Oryctolagus cuniculus: one gene and its partners. The protein of the gene in region 6 interacts with the protein of the main gene of each other region in a pairwise test. Links are inferred from orthologs where the notes say so. Each region holds a gene or a part of one and is shown on either strand. Other genes may lie near its edges. The genes, in order: METTL17, CCDC121, KANSL1, NFU1, CCHCR1, TFIP11 and KAT5.

Region 1 (4,084 bases), on a different chromosome or scaffold from region 6:
TTTTTAGTGTTACATGCTAACACCTCCAAACACTTAGCATAAAGTTAACTAACTTGTGCCCCAACCACCAACAATATGGGGTATAGCATATTGTGTAAAAATGAAATCAGTGTTAAACTAGCTGTCACCTAACAAGATTTGTGATCTCAGGGGCCGGCACTATGGCACAGCGGGTTAAAGCCCTGGCCTGAAGCACCGGCATCCCATATGGGCCCCAGTTCTAGTACTGGTTGCTCCCCTTCCCATCCAGCTCTCTGCTATGCCCTGGGAAAGCCGTACAAGATGGCCCAAGTCCTTGGGCTCCTGAACGAACCCCTGTGGGAGACTCAGAAGAAGCTCCTGGATCCTGGCTTCAGATCGGGGCAGCTCTGACCGTTGCAGTCGTCTGGGGAATGAACCAGCGGATGGAAGACCTCCCTCTCAGCCTCTACCTCTCTCTGTAACTCTTTCAAATAAATAAAATAAATCTTTAAAAAAAATTGTGATCTTGCACATATTTAACCATTAGAAGTCTCACTTTCCTCAAGTGCAAAATGGGGCTGACAGCAGGATATGCCTTGGTAGGAACTAGATTACATAGAAGGATTTTCTTCCTTAATTTTGAAAATTTATTTTTAAACACAGAGAGAGAATCTCCTGTTGATTCACTCCTCAAATCCCAGCAACAGCAGGGGTGAAGCCAAGCCTAAGTCAGGGACTGGTCATTTAACCCGGGTCCCCTACGTGACAGGGACCCGAGGACTTGGGCCATCACCTGCTGCCTAGCAGGGTGTGCACCAGCAAGAAACTGGAATGCGGAACCCAGGAACTCTGATATGGGATGCTGACTTCCCAACAGACCCCAAGGAGAAGTTCCTAGCACATTACCTAGCATGTGGGCGTTCTCAGCAAGCGTTAGCGTTAGCTTATTGCTAACTGACGAGAAACTGACAACTAATTAAACTGTTAACTAAATTATTAATTTACTACCTTTAGTAGTTTAAATCTGGTTTCCTCACCTTTTCATTACTGCATTCTCCGGTTCACAGAGGAAAACAACTCCAGATTCAGTTCTACAGGGAGAAAAGCAACCAGATTTTGACAGCCGAAAGCCCGCCTCCGTCCCTCATGCCCCGCCCCCTCAATTTCGGGCTCTGCAGCACCCCCTTTCCGCCGATCAGGTCGGACCTGACTTCCAAGTCCCGCCCACGAACGGCTTCCGCCGCGAGTAGATTTACATATCGACTGCTTATTGGCTACTAATGAGCACTCCTTCTTCTCATTGGTTGATGCTGTCTCGAGCGAAATCCCGGAGGAAGTTCCGCGCGTCGTTGGGAGCTGAGGGTCACTTTCGTTTCTGTTTCCGGTTCGCCTGCGAAGGCATGGCGGCTGCGTCGGGAAAGAGGTTGCCCTCGATATTGGGCAGATGGCGCCGCGGGCTTCGAATGGCCCCCCAGTCCCGGGTGAGTACCTACTTTCTCTGCTCCCGAAGAAGCTCTGGGACCCTAGAGACAGCTGCGCTCCAAGAAGGAGCTGTTTGGCAGCCGCTTCCTTTAATTGAGAGCCCTCAGTCTTCCTTTGTGGCTGGCACCCAGCTTTCCTTTCTCGGCTTCCAGGCGCTGGCGGCCCTTGTTCGCGGCGTGAGTCAGGTAGATAACAAGTCCGATTTTCTGGGGAAGAAGCCTCACCGTCGGCACCCTGGCATCCTACGTCTGCCGTGCGTGCAACTGCCACAGGCACTGGCTGACGCCGCCCAGCTACTGCTACTCCGTAAGTAACGGCGGGAAAGGGGTATCCGAGGAGAAAAAGAAATGGGCCTTTGCACACAGGTAATTCTGCTTTTCATCTCTGGCCTCCAGAGAACGCAGTGCCCAATGTGGAGAAGCATGTGCAAGCACTGACCAATTATCTCTGGAGCCGACACTTGCCCGTAGAACCTGAGGAGCTACAAAGACGGGCTGTGAGTCTGGAGAAAAAGTTCCTGGAAAACGCAGGTAGGATTGAAGACTGATGAAAGATTAGGCCGGATTGAAACTGGGGAATGAAGTGCAAGAGATAATTTTACAGTCTCTCAAATAGATATTGGAGTTTCTTATTTGACTTTCCACCTTACTGGAAGATAGATTTGTTCCAGAGACTACCCTTGGGACGTGAGGAAGGGACAGAGTATGGCAATTGAAATCTGGATCCCAGTTGGGACCATCTACTTTTTTTTTTTTTTTTTTTTGACAGGCAGAGTGGATAGTGAGAAAGAGAGAGAGAAAGGTCTTCCTTTTGCCGTTGGTTCACCCTCCAACGGCCACTGTGGCCGGCGCACGGCGCTGATCCGAAGGCAGGAGCCAGGTGCTTCTCCTGGTCTCCCATGGGGTGCAGGGCCCAAGGACTTGGGCCATCCTCCACTGCACTCCTTGGCCACAGCAGAGAGCTGGCCTGGAAGAGGGGCAACCGGGACTAGAACCCGGTGTGCCGGCACCGCTAGGTGGAGGATTAGCCTATTGAGCCGCAGCGCTGGCCCATTCTTATTAAGGTGAAAGTCCCTGTAAAGTTAACTGCCTAATGCTGAAAACCTCTGGGATTGGAGAATACATGTAATATATTCACGGTTGTGAGCTCCTTCGTCTTACAGACCTTTTATTTATCTTGTGTCCCCTACACCCCCCACAATCTGGCTCTGAATGGGCATTTAGTACATACTTGCCAAACACAATAGAGTCCCTTTTCCACCTATAGGAACATTCAAGATGTCACAGTCTTAAGTTTTGGGGAAGTGAGGAAATCCACAAAATAATTGTCCTTCTCTTATCCTTTAAATCTAAATTGTATTTTCCTTTATTATAGAAAAAAATTTGTTGGGTAGGGTCAGTTAAGTTGAATATACTGCTGTTGGAGGCAAATACTATCTCATACACTCTAGGGGTGCTGGTGGTGATTATCCTTAGCTGAAATTTTTCTCTAGGTTTGGCTGCTTTCTTGAGCTTTGAGGCTTTTCCAGTGGGAGAGGGGAGAACCGGGAGGGCAGTGAATTAAATATTGGATCTGGTCTCTGTTCTCCTTAGGTCCTCACTTCCAGTCCTTGTTCTCACCGCAGACTCATCCCAGACAGAAGAAAAGCTTCGTGGAGCAGTGCTACATGCCCTGCGCAAAACCACCTACCATTGGCAAGAACTGAGGTGAGGGGGACTAGAAAACATGCAGAAGGAAGAAAAGTTGGACTTGAAAAGGAGAATGGAGCCGCACAATTGCATGATCAATGCAGTGTTTGAAAAAGTGCCTGAGTGATAGTGATCCCCAGGACCACTCTGCCCTGGGGAGTGAAAAGCTAAAGTGGAAGAGCCCTTTCCAAGATCTTATTTCCTCGCAATGGTCAGCAGGTGTGACTCTGATTTTTGTGCAGCTACAATGAAGGACTGAGCCTGGTGTATATGGCAGCGAGACTGGATGGTGGCTTCGCGGCAGTCTCCAGGGCATTCCATGAGGTGAAAAATCTGTGTCTAACTTGAACGCTCTTACCTGCTGTTCCCTTATTGATTCATAATGTAGTCTGTACGGTAGGGATTCTTAGGGTGCTGCGTAGGCTTTTATGCTTTGCTTTTTTTTTTTCTTTCTTTCTTAAAGTTCTCTTGTCCTGTAAAAGGATTCTGTGACCCAAGAAAGGTTCAGAACCACTATTTTAGGAGCTTGTTGTTAAGTGTTTATGTTGAATCTCAGAATGTGTTCACATCTTTCTTCCTCTGTCATAGTCCCCTAATTCATATTTACTAAGGCACTAAATAAGTATCTGCTTACCATACTGTGGGGTGTTGTGTGTTTCTCCAGATCCGAACTCGAATTCCAGAGTTTCAGCCACAAACCTTAATGGACTTTGGCTCGGGTACTGGCTCTGTCACCTGGTGAGTAACTTGCTTCATCCCTTTCTCAAGTCTAGTTCTAGAAGGCCACACTTAACACCAATCCAGTATCAAGAACTTGAAAAACCACAGGAAAAATAGGAAAGTTGAGAACCTAGAATGTTTCTTCTCTCCGATTAGGCGAGGCAGAAGAAGGTATATGGGTTAGGGCCAGGATTTAAAAGAAGTATCATAGTGAAAAAAGACCCATATCTGAA
Region 2 (4,156 bases), on a different chromosome or scaffold from region 6:
TATGTGGTCTTTTATTGTATTTGGGGTATAAAAAGCTTGGGGGTGGGGGACACAGGCACTGTGGGGCAGCAGGTAAGGGACTGTGCTACATATGGAAGTACCCCCCATATGGAAGGGCCTGGGATCAAGTCCCACCTCTACCTCCAATCCAGTTTCCTGCTAATGAGCAACCTAAAAGGTAGCAGATGATGGCTCAAGCACTTAGGTCCCCGCCACCACATGGGAGGCCAGCATGGAGTTCCTGGCTCCTAGCTTTAGCCTGGGCGTTAGATAAAGGCCAGTGTTTAAAAAGGAGAATGTTTTATAAAGAAGCCTGTTTAGGGACTGAAGAACATCCAAGAGAGATAAAAGTACGAAGTTCAGAAAATAAAAAAAGTCCCTGAAGACTGGCAGGCTGGAGGCGTTCCCCTCTCTGCGTTAGGGCACAGTGTACTCACCAATGTTGGCAGGAAAGGGGACTTCGTGCACAGCCGGGTCCAGATTGATCACATAGGGCGGGGAACCTTGGCTGTGCAAGTGCCCAGTGAGCCGCTGCAGACAGGAAGATGGGAGGGGGAGGGAGAGGAGGAGGGGGTGATCAGGAAGGGCATTTCCACTCCTTCACCCACCGCCCTCCAGCCACCCGAAATATCCACCCTGCTTCCAACATCAAATCTCGGCTCAAACGCTACTTTTCCTTATCACTCACCTGACAGAGCCTCCCCTACTCTTGCCCACTTATTAACTTGTATTGCAAACCCATATGGCGAGTATCTTTCTATCTCCTCCATGAAAGTAAAAACCTTGTCAACCGCATTTTCTCCGTATCCCCCATGCCTGGAACATGAGAGGGGCCCCAGAAATAACTTTTTTCGCAAATCTTCACCGAAACCCAATGGGTTAACACCGAATCTATCTACTCCATGCCTTGTGAGTCTGCCTTCGAGAGGCTGGCAACTTCCCCAGCAAACAGTTCCAACACAACGTGGTAAGTCGAACCAAGTGTGCACAGAAGAGGGCTTCAATGAACACAGGCGCGGGTCCGCTATGCCTCAGCCCACGAAGCAGCCGGAGTTCGGTGAAGTCCCTGAAAACCACGCGCCGGTGTCCTCCAACTCCCCACGGACTTCCGTCGCTTTCTCCCTGGCCTTCTGCCCGCCACCACCTCTCGCGCTGCCCTACCCCGCCCGCGCAGTGTGCGTCACCTGGACAAAGGTGGTTTTCCCGGATCCCGCCATCCCCAACACCAAGAGGCACACGGGGGGCCGAGGACCCCCGGACGCCTGGGGCTCCGCCGCAGCCGCGAGCGCCGCCATCTTTGCTCAGGCCCCGCCCCTCACCACAGAGGCGCGGCGTGGCTAGAGAGGCCTCCGCGACGTTCTAGATTGGGCGGAGAATAGAGTCGAACGCCGCCGAGAGGCGCCGGCCAGCGGGTGCCGAGTTTCTGCTGCGGGCGGGCTAGTGACGCCGGGAGAGAAGTGAGGGGAGCAGAGAAGCGAGAGGAGAGGGCTAGCGGAGCCGAAAAAGGAGCACTGCCCGTCGCTGGCTCCTCGGAGCGGGAGACGAGATGGGCTCCCAAGGGCCGAACCCCCACCACACGAAAAAGAGGGGCGTACGTCTCATTTTGGGGTCCCAAAGAGCTAGGACCGAAGACGCTGGTCTGCCGCCTGCTAGAGCTTGTTTGGCACCCGAGGAGATTAAACAGCTCAGGGCTGGGCTGACCGGGGCGGGGGCTAAATGGGACGCTTGGGGGTGCTGGGCAGCGCGGAGACCCGTCGAGCCGCAGACTGAGCAGCTGCAAGACCTTTCCGCCTTCACGACCCCCGACGTCAGCGCGCGCTCCTCGGCGACCACCCTCCGAGAACTGCGCAGCTACCGCTGTCAACAGCTGGATTCCAGGAGCAAGTGAGTGCGGCCACGGAAAGAGGATGAAGGAGCCCGAGAAGTATCCCCGCTCCCCATCACCGTCCCGCGTCCGACGATCTGGGTTTCATACCCAGGCGCTGCCACTGGTCAGCCGTCTGGTTTCTTGTTCTTTAAAACGGACACTACGCCGCGGGGTTGCAGGGAATGCCTATTGCAAATTGTCGGCGGTACCCCCAGCATCTTCAACCCTGGTTGTATTTCCCGTGGCTTGCAGAGTGTTTGGAACGTAGTAGGTCTCCAAAATACTTGTTGAGCTGCCACTTGGGACACCAGCATTCCGTATCTGAATGCCTGGGATCAAGTTCCAACTCCACGTCCAGTCTAGCTTCCTGCAATGCGCCTGGGAGGCAGCAGTTGGTGGCCCAGATACTTGGGTCCCTGCCACCCACGTGGGAGATGCGGATGGAGCCCCAGCTGTGGCAGGTATTTGGGAAGTGAACCAGCAGATGGGAAATCTGCCTTTCAAATAAGTAAATAGTCGCTGTATTAATTAAGGACAATTGTGCATCTTTTATGATTGCTTAAATTTGCATTAAGAACTGACAGAGGCACGTCTCATGGGCTCTCCCTTCAGGTTTGCCGAAGGTCCCAGGAGTTCCCCTCCGTCGTACCTCAGTCTAATAAATAATCTGCTCCAGCCCCAGAAGCTAACAAGTGCGGAGATGCGCATCAGAAGAAGAATGGCGAAGGTGCGAGAGCTGGACACGCAGATTAAAGCAGCCCGAGCCCAGCAGCAGCTGTTACTGGAGGACACCAGGCAGCTGCACGAGGAGGAGCTACACTTCCAGGCGGAAAACAGGTTCTTTCTGGAGTACCTGACCAAGAAAACGGAAGAGCTGGCGAAGGAGCCCGTGAAGCTGTGGACGGAGTACATACAGGAAAGTCGAGAGATTAAAAGGGGGAGACAGAAGTTAGCCGCCAGATATGCCAAGAAGTCTGCAGTGCTTAAAGCAGAGCTCATGCAGAAGAAAAAGATACAAGCCGATTTGAAGCAGCAGCTGCAGGATCTGAGAGACATTTCGCTGTTAAAGGAGAAACAGGACATACAAATCCAGAAATTACAGGAGGAGAAAAACAAGATCGAAGCGCAGATCGCCGCCGAGAAACACGCCCAGTTCCTCAAGGAAAAGGCCCTGCTGGAGGAGCAGCTGAATGAGCCAGACGTGAGGCACTTGGGAAAGCAAGAAAGGAGGGCGCTCAGGGAGAAGACGCAGGCCCTGAGGTCGGCAGCAAAGCAGGCTGAGGTGAAGTTCTGCCACGGCATCCAGGCAGAGAACCAGCGGCTACGCAAGGAATGCTGGCAGCTAATGCGGCAATCCCAGAAATTAGAGGCTACTCAAAGCCAGTTAAGGAGCCAGAAGCAGCAGCTGGAGCAGGAACAGTGGCTTGTGCAGAGCATGCTCCGTGGGAGGCAACGGCTGCAAGAAAGACGCCATGGGTGCCCTAAAGGACAGGGTGTCCCCCAGGCACCACCGAGGCCTCCCCTGGGCGCCGCATCAACGATAAACCCCCCGTAGTTCCTCAAATACGTACCCAGCAAACCTGTTAGGAAAGGCTTTTGAATTCCAGATTGTAGTAAAATACCATACGTGTTGGTACAAAAGACTAGGTGCAGTCATGTAAGGTGACCGGCTTCCTTTAAGCAGTATTTTAAAAAACTACCTTATGTTGATAAACACAATTTTCAGACTTCCAGTTAACCTAATACCTGATAGCCCAACCTGTTTCACCATCTCCGAAACACCCCATACATCCAGCAAGTTCAGAAACACCCACTTGGGGTGTGTGATTTCATCTAGCCAAGTTAAGATTTCTTTATAGAGAAAATACCTTTAAGGACAGCATTTCACTGAATAGAGCTTTCTGCTGTATAAATAACACGGATCAGTTTACTTGTATTCCTTTTGGCCAAATCAGCAGACAAGGATGAAGTGTTTCTAAGTTCTTTTTTAAGTGTAGGCCAGTGGGTGGGTAGCTTCTTTTACAGATTCCTCGCCAGTTGAAAAAGTACTCTGATAACAGCAAGCCCACTAAGTGCTAGGTTGAATGACCTTTGAAATCTGATGATGAACCCCTACAAAAATTTCAGCTTTGAATACATTAAGGGGGTAAGAGGATTTGAATGGTGACATTTATTAAGTTGCCTCTTTTTTGTGAAATGTTCTTTGAAGAAACACTTTTAGCATTAAAGAAGTGATTGAATGCCTGTTTCAGGAAAACCTATCAAAAAAGTTTTAAAATATTTGGACTT
Region 3 (3,500 bases), on a different chromosome or scaffold from region 6:
GCGCCGGCCGAAGCGCGCCGGCCGTGGCGGCCATTGGAGGGTGAACCAACGGCAAAAGGAAGACCTTTCTCTCTGTCTCTCTCTCTCACTGTCCACTCTGCCTATCCAAAAAAAAAAAAAAAAATTCTGATTTTTGCTTAAAAACTCAGTTTCTATTACGGCAACAAAACCATCAACCTTGAAGTGACAGGTAAACTTGTTCATTTTTCAGAAAATGTGTAGCTATCCAAGTTTGAACAATCTTATTTTTTCTGTCAGTCGTTCTGCCTGCTTATAAAAGCAGTATTCCATGAAAAAATTGTAGTTCAGTTGTGCAGGGCTTTTTCTTGAGACCTCATGATGCAGCAAAGTGCTTTGTGTGTGTTTTCTCTTTGCTTCCACAGAATATTTTTTTTTATTTTTAATTTATTTGAAAGAGTTAAACAGAGAGGTAGAGCCAGAGACAGAAGCAGTCTTCCATCTGCTGGTTCACTCCCCAAATGACCGCAACAGCCACAGCTGAGCTGATCCGAATCCAGGAGCTTCTTCCAGGTCTCCCACATAGGTTCAGGGGCCCAAACACTTGGGCCATCTTCTGCTTTCCTAGGCCATAACAGAGAGCTAGATTGGAAGAGAAGTAGTCGGGACTCAAACCAACACCCATATAGGATGCCAGCGCTGCAGGCCAAGCTTTATCCCGCTGCACCACAGTGTTGGCCCCCCACAGGATATTAAAAACAAAAGCCATGCACTTAAAAGTCAAAATTTAATAAAATTCATAGCTTTTATTCATTTATTGAAGCTAAGTGGAACTGAATTAATGGAAATTGTGAGTGAGTGGAGAATATAATTACTACAGTTTGATGCCTCTACCTTGATTTGTACTAAGTTTCCAGCATTTTTGCTCACTTTTGTTTGTGAACACTCATTGCAAATGTAAACACAGTACGGCCATGGTGGCCATTTGGGGGGTGAACCAATGGAAGGAAGACCTTTCTCTCTGTCTCTCTCACTGTCTATTACTCTACCTGTCAAATTAAAAAAAAATGTAAACACAATAAATAAGGCAGCTAATGTTAGTTTTACTATGAAAATATATCTGATTTCATGGACCTTCAAAATGGTCTTTGAGTTCCCAGAAGTCCAGAGACCATACTTAAAAGAATAGCTTTATGTAGATCTCCCTTTGTTCCTAGACCAAACTGTTCAAGGGAGGTGAAAAAGAGGCAAGTGATTGAAATTTTTGGCGTGGTTACTAAATAAAAGCAATGCTGTTACCCAAGGTAATGAAACAGGTTGAGAGGAGTGTGTTAGAAGAACAGCATGAGCTCTGAGTTTCAGGGGGCTTTGAAGATTAGAGTTGCGAATGTTGGATAGAGCAACTCAGAAAATGATTTTCTGAGAGTTAGTGGACCTCGCCATAATAATGGTTATTGCCAAGTAAGTGAGTTGAGAGAAAAGAGAAGGCTGAAGAAAGGACCTTAAGGAGCACTAAACTTTAAGGGGGCTGGAAGATGAGAATGGATGATGGCATTGTCAAGGGCACAGGGAAAGAGAATTTCAAGGTGATCAGCACTGCCTGAGGCTTCAGAGAAGTCAAATGGGAACTGAGATCATTTGGATTTGATAATGAAGCTGCTGGTGATCTTTGCCAGAAGAGTAGGGATGGAACCATGATGATCGAAGGATGAAGAGTGCACAGGCAGCTATTCATATTGTTGTTTCAAGAGGTTTTGGGGTTGGGGCTGGCACCATGGTACAGTAGGTTAATCCTCTGCCTGCAATGTCGGCATCCCATATGGGCGCTGGTTCTAGTCGCAGCTGCTCCTCTTCCAATCCAGCTCTCTGCCGTGGCCTGGGAAAGCAGTAGAAGATGGCCCAAGTCCTTGGGCCCCTGCACCCGCATGGGAGACCAGGAAGAAGCACCTGGCTCCTGGCTTCGGATCAGCGCAGTTCCGGCCGTTGCGGCCATTTGGAGAGTGAACCAACAGAAGGAAGACCTCTGTCTTTCTCTCCCTCTCTCTGCCTGTAACTCTGTCAAATAAAATAAATAAAATCTTTAAAAAATAAAAGAAAAAAATGAGGTTTGGGGGCAAAGGGAAAGAGACTTGTTGGCAATTAATTTGAAAGATGGACTGTACTGAGAGGACAGAGGAGACCTCAGCAAATTCATAGGCAGAGAGGAAGGAGCCAGTAAATTAAGACATTGGTGAGCATTGTGATCTGTAAGAAAATAAAATTGATGAAGCCAATTGGCATTACAGGTGAGGTAAAATTAGCCTGTGGCACAAGCTTTACTTAGAAAGAAGTGAGAAGCTAATGAAAACTGGATCTTGTGGCCAGAAAAATGCAGACATAAGACATTTGTCATATAGCTTTTTCTTACTAATTTTTAATTTAATTATTGGATGTTTGGTTCGGTAGATTGGCTTTAAATGTATCGGTCGGTGTCAAGAAGTTCAAAGAAATTTTTCTCTTAAATGCATATGAGTTGACTTGATTAACTCTTTAAGAATGGAAAATTTGGGCAGCTTTCAGGTTATGGTCACAAGTGACTAAAGGAAGGGTAGAATATTCTTTCTCTTTGCTGGAATTGTACCCTCCTCCCTCCCCTGGATAAAAGATCTGGGTCTCCAGAATGACTCCAACATGTTTTCTGTGTAGCAGCATAGTTGGTACAATAGCCTCAAGTAGAGCTTGTATTAGAAACATGTGTTGTTTTTGAATGTGCTTGTATTTCTAACTTCCTTTTCTTTTTCTTCTAGTCTGTTCTCAGGGGAGGCAGAAAGGGGCCGAGGAGCTGGCCTCGGCACCGGGAGAGGCTGGACTTCCTGTCTCTGTGTGCTGAATGGCTGCGATGGCGCCCGCTCTCACTGACGCAGCAGCCGAAGCACACCACATCCGGTTCAAGCTGGCTCCCCCATCCTCCACCTTGTCCCCTGGCAGTGCCGAAAATAACGGCAACGCCAACATCCTCATTGCTGCCAACGGAACCAAAAGAAAAGCCATTGCTGCAGAGGATCCCAGTCTAGACTTCCGAAATAATCCTACCAAGGAAGACTTGGGAAAGCTGCAACCACTGGTGGCATCTTATCTCTGCTCCGATGTAACACCCGTTCCCTCAAAGGAGTCTTTGAAATTGCAAGGGGTCTTCAGCAAGCAGACAGTCCTTAAATCTCATCCTCTCTTATCACAATCCTATGAACTCCGGGCTGAGCTGTTGGGGAGACAGCCAGTTTTGGAGTTTTCCTTAGAAAATCTTAGAACCATGAATACAAGTGGTCAGACATCTCTGCCACAAGCACCTGTAAATGGTTTGGCTAAGAAATTGACTAAAAGTTCAGCACATTCTGATCATGACAATTCCACTTCCCTCAATGGGGGAAAACGAGCTCTCACTTCATCTGTTCTTCAGGGGGGTGAAGTGGAGGGATCTGAATCTGGGGACTTGAAGGGGGGTATGACCAATTGCACTCTTCCACACAGAAGCCTTGATACAGAACACACCACAATATATAGCA
Region 4 (4,127 bases), on a different chromosome or scaffold from region 6:
CTGTTTGCTAGTCTCTCTCTCCAGTAATTTCCCACTTCTTCCCGGTCTTTCCCTCCTAGGTTTCCTATCCGTCCTAGGTTTCCTATCCGAGTCACGGCACCATTATGTCGCTCCCCCTCTTCGTGGAGGAACGACACTAAACCCTGCCTAGGCTTCATATCCGAGTCACGGCACCATTATGTCGCTCCCCCTCTTCGCGGAGGAGCAACACTGAACCCTGCGCTGTTCTTTCGTCTGCTCGGCCCTCCCCGGGTTTGCTGCTGGTTCTTCCCGGGTTGGCTACTATCCCTTCCACCTCCGTGGAAGGGCAGTTCCCCCTGGCCACATTCCCCACTTCCGCAGGGGAGCGGCACACCGCCGGCCGGCTTTCTTGGGGGGCTGCACAGGTGTTCCTTCAGCTAGATGTTCCCCTTAGATGTTCCTGGTGCATGCCGTCTCTCTCCTCCTTTATAGTCCTCCTCCGCCAATCCTAACTCGGCTGCCCACACGCCGAGTACGCTGCTCTCCAATCAGGAGCAAGTCCTACAGTTTATTGGTTGAACTGGAGGCAGCTGTGTGGAAGCTGTTTACTTCTCTCCCAGCGCCATATTGTGGGAGAGCAGATGCATAGAATAAGTCTTAATTCCAGTAACTCAGTCTAGTCCGGGCTGCTCCCCACACTGGTTCAATACTCAAAATGCCTGCACTACTGGCCTGGAAGGGGCTGGCTGAAGAAAAAATGTGGAATTCAATCCAAGACCCAAGTGAGTGTCAGGAACCCAATTTCTTTTATTAATTAATTTATCTATTTATTTATTTTTTGTTTATTTGATAGGTAGAGTTATAGACAGTGAGAGGGAGAGACAGAGAGAAAGGTCCTCCTTCCGTTGGTTCAACCCCAAATGCCTGCTACAGCCAGAGCTACACCGATCTGAAGCCAGGAGCTTCCTCCTGGCCTCCCATGCGGGTGCAGGGGCCCAAGCACTTGGGCCATCCTCCACTGCCTTCCAGGGCCACAGCAGAGAGCTGGACTGGAAGAGGAGCAACCAGGACTAGAACCCTGCGCCCATATGGGATGCCAGCGCCACAGGCGGAGGATTAACCAAGTGAGCCACGGCGCCAGCCCCAAGGAACCCAATTTCTTGAGCCATCACTGCTGCCTCCAGGCGTTTGCATTAGTAGGAAGTCAAGAGTTGCTGGTGGGCATCAAACCCAAGTCACTGATATGGGATGCAGGCATCCCAACCACTAGGTCAAACACCTATAATAACCTCAAAACACACACACTTCTCTATTATAGGCAGGAAGTGATGATCAGGCTACATCACTTTTTTTTTTTTTTCCACAAAAACAGAATACTGTTTGTCACAAAGGAAGAATAAGTACCACTTAAGTGGAATGCAGATTACCTAAAAATTTTACCTACTTTTAGTAATCTTTAAATGAGATTTATAAGCAAAAGGCACTGTGGTACCATAACCATAGAAAGTTTCCTAGATGTTGCTGGAGAGACTAAAGGACTGGCACTGAGGAGTCACAACAGAGAAAGCATCAGTGACATCATGGAAACAACACTGGAGGGGAATTACGGACTCTGCGAGGCCTCCCTCCCTCCCTCTAGAGAGCTGGCCACAGCTAGGTAGGACACGACTTTAAATCACACGACTCTACGACAGCACTCTTTGTTTTCTCATTTGTCGTTTTGTTTTGTTTTGGTTTTTTACTAGATTGCAAGCTCATTAAGGAAGAGAATATCTTCCTGTGTTCGCAGGTACTAGCACTCCGCCTCAGTTCCTCACAGCTGCCTCTTAAAGGCTGGGATGACAGCTCCTGTGATCCGTGTGCCAGCGCCAGGTCTTGCAGTCACAGTCAGCAACGGTAGCTGCTACCGTTATCACTCTGTGCAACCGCTGGTTGAAACGCCCTGAATGCACTCGCGAAGTCTCTCTGGGCATACTCTGGAACTTGGAAACACACGGGAAGACCAGTATTCCTGCCCCTTCACCCACGGAGAAGGCAGCAGAGTGCCTACATAAGCACATTCTGACAGAGAGAAGTTGGAAGTTTTTTAGAAAACCGAGTAAAATTAGTCAAGGAAGACACCTACTGACGCATCTGAAGGGCAGACAGGGTAACCCACAGAATTCCCGCAGCTAAGAAACGCATTGAAACGTCAAGAGCAGCGTTAGCACCGGTCAAGAGGCCAAACTCCCTGTTTTTCTCTTGAAGTAAAAATCACGACCGGACACCCACACATGTCCTCTAACTGATGCTGACCGGCGTCTTCAGGAAGCAAAACTCCTAAAGGGACCAGAGAAAGGGGAACACAAAGGAACGGCGTGGGCTTAGGGGAGAGGGGACTCGGAGCTGCAACCCTTGCAAACTAAGCTGCGTGGCTCTGGACAGTCACGCCTCTCTCTGGGCCTCACCGGGAAAGTGAGGAATGAGACCAGGTGTGTTCTTTTTGATGCGACATTCTGATTTCGTGTCCACACCCGGGCTCCGCGGGCTCCCGAGCGCAGGCAGTCGGCCACAGGTCTGAGCCCGAGGCGAAGCGCGGCGCCGTCCCACCGACAGCCGTGCCCCTCACGACCAAACCCCCACTTGCGGCGACGGGGGGAGGCGCCATCAGATGCACCCCGTCCCCGCTCCCCCACCTTGAGAGACGACCGGCGAGGCGGCGACCGCTCGGCGGGATAGGTCCGGAGGCACGCCTCCTCCGAGTTCCCGGCCCATCACCTACCGACTGCGAAGCCCCGCGGCAGCAGCCGCAGCTCCCCAACCCCGCCTGGCCGCCGCCGCCATCTTAGTCCAGGAGTGCGCAGGCGTGGACAGGCCTCACCCCTTCGCAACGGGGCAGAAGCCGTGCGCAGGCGCGGGCCAGCCGAGAGCTGGGCGAGCACTGGGACGAGCGCACCCTACAGGCCTTCGGTGGCGCTGCTGCGAGTGAGCAAGGCTGGCGTGGACCGGGAGGTTTGCAACCAAAGCCAGCCTCCAGCGTGAGCCTGAACAAGGGTGGGGAGCTCTTTGCTCGGCTTGCGCAGGCGCCTTCCGTGAACCTGTACGCTCTCCGCACGTGTGTGCAGATGCTTACTTTACTTTCTTCTACCTGGGTTCTTCGCTGGGCTTGTCCTGCTGACGGAGCGCCGTTTTCCACCTCCAAACTGCCCCATACCCTCTTGAGCAGCCTGCTCGCTCTCCGCATCCGGCTCAGTGATTGCTCCCCAAGACTCCCGTAGCATCTCTGAAGAGTTCTTGCCTTGCCCCTGCCTTCCTCCCCTGGGGCGGACGCAGGCCTGGGCGTTAATCCTGTAGGCTGCGCTTGCCCCTCCTGGACTAACCCGCACAGAGGACACACCTACCGCACTGCTGCCCTTCTCTGGTAAGCGTGAATATTTACTACTTTCCAAAGTAGAGTACAAAAGCCCGTGAACCACTCTTCTAGAACCTTCCTGGGATACTCAGTTATTTTCTAGGACAGTGGTTCCTAGACTGGGGACTGGGACGCGCTGTAAATGCTCATTTTCAGGAATCACCTTAGACCTCCTGACTCAGAATCTTTCTGTATAGGGGGGCCCGCGATCTGTTTTAATAAGCCCTCCTGGTGACCGATGCAGACGAAACGGTGAGAACCGCTGCTCTGAAAGAAGGAACAGGTGGATGCCACACCCCGGACAACGCCAGCGCTTCTAGGGTCCAGAGACGCATGGGAGAGGCTGAGGCTCTGAGGCCTGCGGCTGGCCTGGGCCTGGACCCCGAGTGTGCTGTGTCCTCCCAGTGCTGCGGGCATGACTGCCTCGCATCGCCGTCTTCCCGCTTAGTCCTCTACTCAGCACAAGCCTTCCCCTCTGCTCTGGACCCTGAATCAAGTGTAAAACCGGGCTCTTCCAGTCAGGATTCCGCCCTGGTTAGAGAACAGTCTTTCCTGCCTTCAGCTTCCCTTCTTGAGATTTCTTCTCGAGGAAAATCCTGCCTCGCCCCCCATCCCCTCCATCCCCTTTTTCTTCATTCAGAGCCAACAGGCACGGAGAGTCGTGTGCGGTGTTGGGCTCTAGTTTATCACCTCCTTCCCCTCTAACCACCGAAGTCAGGCTTCTGTGTCCTGACGGTCCCAGTGTCAGAGGAGAAAAATCACAGCCATTGAGCTT
Region 5 (2,872 bases), on a different chromosome or scaffold from region 6:
TAATCCATGTAATGCTACATGCCTGCTGCTAGATCTCGCATCTGCAATGCCGTGCCCGGTCCCTTCTTTTTTTTATTCTTAAAGAGTTATTTACCCATTTGAAGGTCAAAGCTACACAGAGAGAGGAGAGGCAGAGAGAGAGAGAGAGGGAGGAAGGGAGAGAGAGAGGTCTTCCATCCTCTGGTTCATTCCCCCAATTGGCTGTAACAGTCGGAGCTGTGCCGATCTGAAGCCAGGAGTCAAGAGCTTCTTCTGGGTTTCCCACGTGGGTGTAGGGGCCCAAGGACTTGGGCCATCTTCTACTGCTTTCCCAGGCCACAGCAGAGAGCTGGATTGGAAGTGGAGCAGCTGGACTTGAACCGGCGCCCATATGGGATGCTGGCACTGCAGGCAGTGGCCTCACTTGCTGTGCCACAGCGCCAGCCCCGGCCCGGTACCTTCTAAGGCAGTTGCAGCCCGTGTCCCTCATGCCGACTTGGTAGTCATGGCCTTGCTGAGGCTGTCATAGAGCCTTGGGAAAGAGCTGCTTCGTGCTAGTAGCGGCCTCCCCAGGCACCGGGGTCCTTGGGATGGGCGGTAGGCGGTCCGTGTGGAGCCCTTGGTGCGGTGCTGGTGTGTAGTTTGTGCTCTGACTGTCCACGGTCCTCACAGGGCTGTCCTGGATGCATCAGGGGAGTTCTGGGGGTCAGCAGGATGGGCCTTTGCAGCCACGGCCTTCTCTTGGATTCACTCCTTGGGAACCCATTGGCTTGAACAAACTGGGAGCCATTTGCAACCTGCTCCGCACCGGCCTGGGTATGCGAGCCAGCACCCAGATTCCGCCCGTTGCAGCTGCGCCTGCCTCCAGGAGAGCAGAAAGACAGGCCGGGGGCAGGGTTTCCTGTGGTGCCCAGGGGTCAGGCAGGGTTCTCGCTGAGTTCTTGCCAGAAAGCACCAACTTTGGGATGTTACCAGGTTGGCGACACAGTCCCTAGGTGACTCAATGGCTGTGTCAGAAGATGGATCTTAAAGTTTTTCTTAAATTTATTTTTTATTTGAAAACCAGAGAAACTGAAAGAGAGAGAGAAAGATAGCTCTTCTGTCTACCAGTTCACTTTCCAAATGCCCACAGCAGCTGGGGCTTAGCCTGGCCTAAGCCAGGAACCCAGAACTTGATGTGGGACTCCCACGTGGGTGGCAGGGACCCAAGTACCAGAGTTGTCACCTGCTGCGGCCTCCCATGGGGTGCACTGGCAGGAAGCAGAAGTTGGAAGTGAAGCTGGGACCTGAACTCATGTGCGATGCAGACGTCCCGAGAGGCGGCCGTGTTGTTGACCTCTGCTCCTCACACCCACCCCTGGAAGTGGCTTTAGAGCCACGGCCTGTGCTGGGCGCTCCCACCGAAAGGGTTCCTCGCTGTACTTGCTGTGGTCACCGCTTGTTTTTCCGTCTCCGAGGAAGCTCCAGGCCTGCCCCCGTTTTCCCCTTGGGCCTCCTCCCAGGGCTCCCAGCTGAAGCCCCTCAGTTTTCATGGGCCGTGCTGGTTCTGCTTCTGGGCCAGCAGCTGATGCCACTCACAGACCTGCCCTTCACGTGTCAGGGAAACCACACTCCTGGGCTTGTTCGAGAGCTGCGCAGCAGTGATCCAAGACCAGGTGGTGAGAAATCAGCTTTAGGGCCGGCGCTGTGGCGTAGCGGGTAAAGCCACGGCCCAGGAAAGCAGTAGACGATGGCCCAAGTGCTTAGGCCCCTTCACCCATGTGGGAACCCTAGAAGAGGCTCCTGGCTTCGGATCAGCCCTGTGGATGGAACCAGTGGATGGAAGAGTTCTCCCTGTATGTCTCTCCCTCTATTTCTGTAACTCTGCCTTTCAAATAAATAAGTAAATCTTAAAAAAAGAAAAAGAAAAGAAGCCCCGAGTTTGCCTGAAAAGATAAGGCAGTCGTCTGAGGCCTTCTTGAGGGGCAGGGGCTCCTTAGACATGGAAGCTTCGGGCCGTGTTCTTCCACCACAGACGTGGCGCGGCGTCCAGCGCCAGGAATCCCAGGCCCTGGAGACGGCCTCGTGGCCTGCAGGGGAGCGAGTGGCCATCAGGCAGAGACCAGGCCCTGCGGCGTTGTTGTCACTGAGCCCTTTACAGCCTGGGGCGCCCGGGGCCAGATGGGGCTCCTTGCACCTTGCTGTGTTGATTGCAGGGCTTTTATTGGGGACACTGGTTCTCAGGATCCAAATGAGAAGTTTACTCTGCATGGGTTGTGGGACCAGGAATAGCTGTGCTTTTTAAAATATTTTTATAAGCAACCAGATCGTATTTCTGTGACAGTCGCTAAAAGGCTAAAGCTCCTCCCAGGTTTTGTTTTAGCAGCTGCAGCATAGGGCATGAGGTTGGGGCACACGTGCCCCAGGTCCTACCCCTAGCCTCTCTTGTTTCCCTTCCCTGCTTCCCCCCACCCCCACCTGTGCGACAGTGCAGGATGGGGGGAGGGGTCTGTGCAGGCCCCAGGCCCTGTGGGGGTGAGGTGCGGGTCAGCGGTCAGCGGCCTGTGCTCCTCCAGCTCCCAGGTCTGCCTCCAGAGCACCATGGCTAAGGTGGAGCAGGCGGTGGCCCGGCTGCCCAGCCTCAGTAACCGACTCAGCTATGCCGTCCGCAAGGTCCACACTGTCCGCAGTGAGTTGGGGGTGGTGGTGGGCTCTGAGCTGCATCCTGGCCCAGCCCTCTGATCCCTCGGCCACTTCCTCCTCCTGCTCACCAGCCCACACGTTTCTGCTTCCCGGACTCCCCTTGCAAACTCAACCTGTCGCTTTCCATCTTTTCTCTCCAGGTCTCATGGCTCGAAAACTGGCCCTTGCACAGCTGCACCTGGAGAGGTAAAGTGTGGGCAGTGTGTGTGTG
Region 6 (3,500 bases):
GGTCAAGGAACTGAAGCCAGGGGTCTCGTGCCGAGGCAGAAGCTGTGCTAGCTTTGCAAGCTGGACCTCTCTGACTGGAGGTCGGGCTCCTGGGCACTCAGATACTGCGTCTTTTAGGGAAAAGGTCCCTCGGTGCACACTGCCCCGGGGATGTTGAGTGACGCGGCTGGTCGTTTTGTAGGGCTCACCCCATTTTGTAGTATTGCCTGGGGTTTTCCTTGGATTTTTCTCCCCACTCTATTCCTTTAAGTAAACAATGGAAATAAATGAGCTTCAGGCTAACGGAGGAAGGGACCAGAGGTTAGCGGCCGGCTGTGAGTGCTGGTCGGAAGTAGTCGGGGCTCACGGAGCACAGCTCATTCACAGCTGTCCCAGGTGTTCTAGCTCAGGGCTCACAGAGCACAGCTCATTCACAGCTGTCCCGGGTTCTAGCTCAGGGCTCACGGAGCACAGCTCATTCACAGCTGTCCCGGGTGTTCTAGCTCAGGGCTCACGGAGCACAGCTCATTCACAGCTGTCCCGGGTGTTCTAGCTCAGGGCTCACGGAGCACAGCTCATTCACAGCTGTCCCGGGTGTTCTAGCTCAGGGCTCACGGAGCACAGCTCATTCACAGCTGTCCCGGGTGTTCTAGCTCAGGGCTCACGGAGCACAGCTCATTCACAGCTGTCCCGGGTGTTCTAGCTCAGGGCTCACGGAGCACAGCTCATTCACAGCTGTCCCGGGTGTTCTAGCTCAGGGCTCACGGAGCACAGCTCATTCACAGCTGTCCTGGGTGTTGTAGCTCGGGGCTCACGGAGCACAGCTCATTCACAGCTGTCCCGGGTGTTCTAGCTCAGGGCTCACGGAGCACAGCTCATTCACAGCTGTCCTGGGTGTTGTAGCTCGGGGCTCACGGAGCACAGCTCATTCACAGCTGTCCCGGGTGTCTAGCTCGGGGCTCATGGAGCACAGCTCATTCACAGCTGTCCCGGGTGTTGTAGCTCGGGGCTCACGGAGCACAGCTCATTCACAGCTGTCCCGGGTGTTGTAGCTCGGGGCTCACGGAGCACAGCTCATTCACAGCTGTCCCGGGTGTTCTAGGTCAGGGCTCACGGAGCACAGCTCATTCACAGCTGTCCCGGGTGTTGTAGCTCAGGGCTCACGGAGCACAGCTCATTCACAGCTGTCCTGGGTGTTCTAGCTCAGGGCTCACAGAGCACAGCTCATTCACAGCTGTCCCGGGTTCTAGCTCAGGGCTCACAGAGCACAGCTCATTCACAGCTGTCCCGGGTTTCTAGGTCAGGGCTCACAGAGCACAGCTCATTCACAGCTGTCCCGGGTGTTCTAGCTCAGGGCTCACGGAGCACAGCTCACTCACAGCTCTCTCCTATGCTTTCTTAGTTTTCATTCTCATATACACATAGTGGATATGAACTGCTTCTGAGCTTGATTAACATAGTTGTTAATATACTTTACATTCAGATAACCTTGGATTTCACTTATTATGACTTTATCAAAATTTCTACTCTTTTGATTTTGTCCTTAAAATTGTATTTGGAACAAATGCTTTTTGAGCTAAATTAATTTTTTAATGTAAAATGAAAATAGGATTAGTTTTTTACTTATAGAACAACCCTTAATTTTCTTTAATTTTTTTTTCTTTGCAAGGCAGAGATGCACAGAGAGAGCTGCCTTCCTCTACTTCACTCCCCAGTGCCTGTAATGACCAGGAGTTGGGCCAGGCACAGGCCAGCTGTGAGGACCTCACTCCGGTCTCCCGTGGGGTGAAAGGATAGGAACTCTGGTCACTGTTGCCTTCTAGGAGCTGCACTAGCAGGAAGGTGGAATCTGGAGCTGGGAGTGATCAGCAAACCCAGCTCTCCGGTGTGGGATGCAGCCATCTTAACCACTGACCAGACACCCACCCTGCATATTGGGAATTTATAATAGCTCTGTATTGGCATTGTGTACCCTTTAGTGATAGATCTGAATTGAACATGTCAGTTTAAAAAATGTTAAGTGTTAGGGCCGGCATTTATGGTACAGTGGGTTAAGCCGCTGCCTGCGACACCAGCATCCCATTTGGGTGCCAGTTCAACTCCTGGCTGCTGCACTTCTAATCCAGCTCCCTGCTAATGCGCTTGGGAAAGCAGCAGCAGATGGCCTAAGTACTTGGGTCCCGGCCACCCATGTGGGAGATACAGGTGAAACTCCTGGCTTCGGCTTGGCTGTTGGGGCCATCTAGGAAGGGAACCAGCAGATAGAAGATCTCTCCTCTGTGTCTCTTTCTCTGTAACTCTGCCTTTAAACAGATAAATAAATCCTTTCAAGCAGTGTTGATATTCTGATACATGAGGAGATTGAAAATATTCATGGAAAATGAATATTATAAAAATTATGCATACATTTCAGGGTTTGTGTGTGTGTGTGTGTGTGTGTGTGAAAATAAACTTTTCCCTGAATTCCCTCTTGCCATGAACTTTCTGAGGCAGACGTTTGCTCCTCAGATGTGTTCCGTGGGGGCCACCTCCTGGCGCAGGCCGGGGTCTGGGCAGGGCGGCTGTGGAGGAGCCTTCACCCCTGGTCTCGGTGTCTGCCCACAGCCCCCGGGACTACTCTGCGCCGGTCAACTTCATCAGCGCTGGGCTCAAGAAGGGGGCAGCGGAGGAGGCGGAGCTGGACGACTCTGAGGACGAAGAGAAGCCTGGAAAGCAGGAGGAGCTTCCGAAGGATCTGGGCCCCAAGAAGCTAAAGACGGTAGAGTCTCTGTCGCGGGGCTGGGCCGCGGTGGCCTCTCCTGGCAGGGGGACCTGGTCACGTGGGTTTCTGTGGCCGCAGGTGCGTGAGGCGTGGGCGCGCCGCGTCTCTGCATCCTGGCGCAGCGCAGACACCTGCCCCGGTGCCCTGTAACTGCCGGGCTGCTTTCCCAGGGCCAGGCTTCCTCGGACTTTGCCGCTTTCTCCTTCCTTTCCCTGCAGTCAAGCTCTGGCCTTTGTTCTCTGCAGGGGGGCAATTTTAAGCCCAGCCAGAAAGGCTTTGCAGGAGGAACCAAGTCGTTCATGGACTTCGGCAGCTGGGAAAGGCACACGAAAGGGATTGGGCAGAAGCTTCTTCAGAAGATGGGCTACGTGCCCGGCAGGGGCCTCGGGAAGAACGCACAAGGTACCGCGCCGCCCCAGCCCGCCCGCCGAGGCCGCGCCCTGTGGCGGGCACTGCTGTGTCTCGGCTCTCCTCGGCTCCGCCAGCACAGGGCGTGCTGCTCTCAGCGCCCTCTCCTTATCAAAACTCGCCCTAGACACAGCATGCGTCCTAGCAGGAGGAGAAGGGGTGCAGGGTGCAGACAGCCTTCTGTGTTGGCCTGACTCGTGTTTCTGAAAAGTGAATGGGTTGCCAGCATTGAAAAATCCGCCTAGAACCTTGGATTCTGCCTGAAGTGGTTTGCTGAGTCAGCCCTGAGACGCCCCACTGCAACACAGCCTGTAGCACAGGTTTGCAGCCCACCCCACTGCAACGCGGCCTG
Region 7 (3,306 bases), on a different chromosome or scaffold from region 6:
TAAGGCTAACTTGAGACTGGAGCGCGAGGGGGGGCGGCCCTGGCCTGCGTGCAGGGAGTTTGAGAGGCGGCAGCTGCCTACGCACCCCTCCGCGTGAAGTGTGGACTGGGCACCCGCGTGGCAGTGCGCAGGTGAGGAGCCAGGGGTGAGGTTTCTCCAGGAGTTGTGTGCAGAGGCAGTCCCCTGAGGGTGGGGGCCCTGCTGGTCCTCGGTGAAGAGGCAGAGCCCCGCCCTCCCTCGGGGAGCGGCAGGTGCAGCCGTGGGGTGAGTGGAGAGCTGGGTCTGCTGACAGCGACTCCCAGCACTGCCACACAGGGGCTCCCTCGTGTCCTGGCCGGAGACACTTCCTGCGTTCCAAACTGTACGCTGGTGTCCAGCACAGCAGGGCCAGGGAGCCGCCCCGGGCCCTGCTGAGACGGAGAAGGGGCGGGCAGCGGGGCAGACCCTCCGTCCCCAGGGAGGTAGCTGGACGCTGTCACAGCGCGCGGGCCCCAGGCAGGGACGACCCCACCCGCTGGCCTGGCCCAGGGGCCCTCTCGGGTGGCACCACCAGTGGGAACGGGCTCTCCCTCTCCCCCCGCAGAGTTACTCCCAGAACCTGTGTCTGCTGGCCAAGTGCTTCCTGGACCACAAGACGCTGTACTACGACACAGACCCCTTCCTCTTCTACGTCATGACGGAGTACGACTGCAAGGGCTTCCACATCGTGGGCTACTTCTCCAAGGTCAGCGCCTGCCCGCTGTCCCCGGGGGGCCCTGGGGTGGGCGCAGACCCTGCCCTCACGCTCGCCCACCCCTCCTGCAGGAAAAGGAGTCCACGGAAGACTACAACGTGGCCTGCATCCTCACCCTGCCCCCGTACCAGCGCCGGGGCTACGGCAAGCTGCTGATTGAGTTCAGTGAGTATGTGGCCGCCCCGCCCAGGGCCCGTGCACTGCCGCTGGTGCCTCAGGCCACACGCCCACGGCTGTCCCCCACTGTGCAGCTCAGCCAAGGGGGTCGGCCAGGAACCAAGCTGGGGTTCGCCGAGGTCTCACACTCCAGGGTGACTGCTCCCACCCCATCTTGGCCAGGGCCCCAAACCTCAGCCCACTCTCCCAGATCTGGCTGACCTGCTGCTGCCCACGGCTGTGGCATGAACCCGCACAGCTGAGCAGGAACCCAAGGGTGCCCACCCCCTCCGTGGTCCTTGCAGGCACAGCAGGTCAGGGTGGACGCTGGGACTGGCCAGTGTGCAGCAGGGGCAGGAGAGCAGACAAGCGCGACCGGCCCAGGGCCTTGCCCCTCGGGGTCTGGTGGGGCCAAAGGGGCTTGCGAGGAGCTAACTTCTCGTGGTCAGCTGGAGGAGGGCAGGGGCAGGGAGGCCTCTCTCCAGCTGGGAAGCGCTTGGTGAAGCTCCTTCCTCACCACCACGCAGCCCGCTCCATCCCAGAGCAGCTGGCGAGCCCGAGGTCCCAGCCAGAATGTGACGGACAGAGGGCGGGGTCTGCCCTGCCTCCCTCTGCACCCACACAGCAACGGCCAAGGACATGGGCACCCCCCCAGCCTCGGCTGACTGCAGGTGCCCCCCCCAGCACCCAGGCCAAGGGCGAGCGCCTTCAGGTGGTGGGCAGAGAAGCCACGTGGCTCTAATTCTTAAATGCTTTTCATTTTATTTGAAAGGCAGAGACAGGTCTGGTCAGGGGTTCACTCCCCAGTTGCCCACAGCAGGCAGGGCCGGGCCAGGCTGAAGCCAGCAGCCTGGAGCTCCGCAGGGCCCCACTGGGCGGCAGGGCCCCAGGTCCCTGGTCCGCCTGCACTGCCAGGCTGCAGGTTAGCGGGTGGAGCAGTGGGCGTCCGGCCCGGCCCCCTGCTGCAGGATGTGCCCGCTGCGATGCCACTGTCTGACCGCTTACCCACCTCTCCTGCTCCCCTGCTCCAGGCTATGAGCTCTCCAAGGTGGAAGGGAGAACGGGGACCCCAGAGAAGCCCCTGTCGGACCTGGGCCTGCTGTCCTATCGCAGTTACTGGTCCCAGACCATCCTGGAGATCCTGATGGGGCTCAAGTCCGAGAGTGGGGAGCGGCCGCAGATCACCATCAAGTGAGCCGGCCGCCCCCGGGGGTGCGTGGCTGTCCCCGCCCCGGGCCGCGGGAGACCTGACCTTTGCCCTCCCGCAGTGAGATCAGCGAGATCACCAGCATCAAGAAGGAGGACGTCATCTCCACGCTGCAGTACCTCAACCTCATCAACTACTACAAGGTGGGGCGGGCGGCCAGGGCCGGGCAGTCGGGAAGCCGGTGCGGGCCGGGCGCTGACCCCTGCCGGGCCCTCTCTCGCCCAGGGCCAGTACATCCTCACGCTGTCCGAGGACATCGTGGACGGACACGAGCGGGCAATGCTGAAGCGGCTGCTGCGCATCGACTCCAAGTGTCTGCACTTCACCCCCAAGGACTGGAGCAAGCGGGGGAAGTGGTGACCGGGCCTCCGGGCGCGGGGCCGGCGAGCACGGGACCCGGCGCCCCCAGCAGGCACAGCGCGCGAGGCGCGCAGGGCAGCGCCAGACGGGGCTGGGCCCGCAGGGGCCACGGGTCAGTGCCCAGGCCCGCCGAGGGCTCGGGTCAGCGCCCAGGCTGAGCTGGCTGCGGGCCCGGCCTGCCCTGACCAGGGACCAGGAGGAGCCGGGCGGCTTGTGCAGTGCGCAGGGGCTGGGGGCAACTGTACAGGACACTTTCACTGTAAAAATGGCTTTTGTAAAGTAGAAGGTGGGGGTGGGGTGGCCCTGGCTGCGGCCCCCGCACCAGGCAATAAATCGTTTCCGTAGGCGGAGCCTCCAGGGTTCTGCACAGCTGCGGTGCGGGGCGTACTGGTCGGCAGGTGGGGACGGGCTCCGGCTCTCAGTCCTCCGCCACCTGAGCGTGAATCTGCAAGAGGAGCCGCCTGTAACCGTGCGGGGGCCCGGCCGCCCCCACTGACCCCGTCCGGCGTGGGGGGCCCCGCGCCGCAGCGACCCCGCCCGTGCACTCACCGCGGCCGCGAGGCTCGGCCAAGTCAGGGCCCCGCGCACTTTGGCGTCCGGGCCCGGCACGGTCTCCAGGCCCCACAGCGTGAAGCGGCCGAAGCTGGCGGTGGCGCCCAGAAAGCGGTCCTGGGGAGGGAGGGAGGGAGGCGGCTCAGCCCGGCCCCGCCGCCGCGCCCGCCCCGGGCCCGCCGTGGCTCACCAAGTCCCGCTCCAGCGGCGCCCGCTCCGCGTCCCCGGACCCCGGCCGCCCGTCTGCCTTCTCGGCCGCCAGGACGTAGCCCGCGAAGCCGGCCGGCACCGCCACCTC

What was found.
Region 1: the proteins of TFIP11 (region 6) and METTL17 interact in binary tests that used the Homo sapiens proteins (3 or more experiments, as listed by UniProt). The link is inferred for Oryctolagus cuniculus from reciprocal best matches to the Homo sapiens genes TFIP11 and METTL17.
Region 2: the proteins of TFIP11 (region 6) and CCDC121 interact in binary tests that used the Homo sapiens proteins (3 or more experiments, as listed by UniProt). The two-hybrid records come from large-scale screens. The link is inferred for Oryctolagus cuniculus from reciprocal best matches to the Homo sapiens genes TFIP11 and CCDC121.
Region 3: the proteins of TFIP11 (region 6) and KANSL1 interact in binary tests that used the Homo sapiens proteins (3 or more experiments, as listed by UniProt). The two-hybrid records come from large-scale screens. The link is inferred for Oryctolagus cuniculus from reciprocal best matches to the Homo sapiens genes TFIP11 and KANSL1.
Region 4: the proteins of TFIP11 (region 6) and NFU1 interact in binary tests that used the Homo sapiens proteins (3 or more experiments, as listed by UniProt). The two-hybrid records come from large-scale screens. The link is inferred for Oryctolagus cuniculus from reciprocal best matches to the Homo sapiens genes TFIP11 and NFU1.
Region 5: the proteins of TFIP11 (region 6) and CCHCR1 interact in binary tests that used the Homo sapiens proteins (3 or more experiments, as listed by UniProt). The link is inferred for Oryctolagus cuniculus from reciprocal best matches to the Homo sapiens genes TFIP11 and CCHCR1.
Region 7: the proteins of TFIP11 (region 6) and KAT5 interact in binary tests that used the Homo sapiens proteins (3 or more experiments, as listed by UniProt). The link is inferred for Oryctolagus cuniculus from reciprocal best matches to the Homo sapiens genes TFIP11 and KAT5.

What each region holds. Positions count from the first base shown.
Region 1 is NC_091443.1:53,913,165-53,917,248, reverse strand, and holds the start of METTL17 (ribosome assembly protein METTL17, mitochondrial), read left to right. Parts: upstream 1-1,284; 5' UTR 1,285-1,361; coding exon 1,362-1,442; intron 1,443-1,595; coding exon 1,596-1,749; intron 1,750-1,838; coding exon 1,839-1,973; intron 1,974-3,067; coding exon 3,068-3,149; intron 3,150-3,373; coding exon 3,374-3,455; intron 3,456-3,795; coding exon 3,796-3,869; intron 3,870-4,084. UniProt on the Homo sapiens protein: Mitochondrial ribosome (mitoribosome) assembly factor. Binds at the interface of the head and body domains of the mitochondrial small ribosomal subunit (mt-SSU), occluding the mRNA channel and preventing compaction of the head domain towards the body.
Region 2 is NC_091433.1:175,379,016-175,383,171, forward strand, and holds the start of CCDC121 (coiled-coil domain-containing protein 121), read left to right. Parts: upstream 1-1,356; 5' UTR 1,357-1,546; coding exon 1,547-1,884; intron 1,885-2,479; coding exon 2,480-3,422; 3' UTR 3,423-4,156. Other genes in the region: GPN1 (GPN-loop GTPase 1), read right to left, coding at 438-531, 1,185-1,295.
Region 3 is NC_091448.1:17,098,815-17,102,314, forward strand, and holds part of KANSL1 (KAT8 regulatory NSL complex subunit 1), read left to right. Parts: intron 1-2,744; 5' UTR 2,745-2,827; coding exon 2,828-3,500. UniProt on the Homo sapiens protein: Non-catalytic component of the NSL histone acetyltransferase complex, a multiprotein complex that mediates histone H4 acetylation at 'Lys-5'- and 'Lys-8' (H4K5ac and H4K8ac) at transcription start sites and promotes transcription initiation.
Region 4 is NC_091433.1:133,215,517-133,219,643, reverse strand, and holds the start of NFU1 (NFU1 iron-sulfur cluster scaffold homolog, mitochondrial), read right to left. Parts: upstream 2,801-4,127; 5' UTR 2,785-2,800; coding exon of another isoform or gene 2,723-2,784; 5' UTR 2,609-2,722; coding exon 2,409-2,608; intron 1-2,408. UniProt on the Homo sapiens protein: Iron-sulfur cluster scaffold protein which can assemble [4Fe-4S] clusters and deliver them to target proteins.
Region 5 is NC_091436.1:139,347,023-139,349,894, forward strand, and holds part of CCHCR1 (coiled-coil alpha-helical rod protein 1), read left to right. Parts: intron 1-2,534; coding exon 2,535-2,647; intron 2,648-2,801; coding exon 2,802-2,847; intron 2,848-2,872. UniProt on the Homo sapiens protein: May be a regulator of keratinocyte proliferation or differentiation.
Region 6 is NC_091452.1:20,276,962-20,280,461, reverse strand, and holds part of TFIP11 (tuftelin-interacting protein 11), read left to right. Parts: intron 1-2,583; coding exon 2,584-2,737; intron 2,738-2,985; coding exon 2,986-3,142; intron 3,143-3,500. UniProt on the Homo sapiens protein: Involved in pre-mRNA splicing, specifically in spliceosome disassembly during late-stage splicing events. Intron turnover seems to proceed through reactions in two lariat-intron associated complexes termed Intron Large (IL) and Intron Small (IS).
Region 7 is NC_091432.1:6,000,398-6,003,703, reverse strand, and holds the end of KAT5 (histone acetyltransferase KAT5), read left to right. Parts: intron 1-583; coding exon 584-724; intron 725-804; coding exon 805-898; intron 899-1,626; exon of another isoform or gene 1,627-1,920; coding exon 1,921-2,080; exon of another isoform or gene 2,081-2,157; coding exon 2,158-2,614; 3' UTR 2,615-2,806; downstream 2,807-3,306. Other genes in the region: RNASEH2C (ribonuclease H2 subunit C), read right to left, coding at 2,875-2,901, 3,006-3,125, 3,199-3,306. UniProt on the Homo sapiens protein: Catalytic subunit of the NuA4 histone acetyltransferase complex, a multiprotein complex involved in transcriptional activation of select genes principally by acetylation of nucleosomal histones H2A and H4.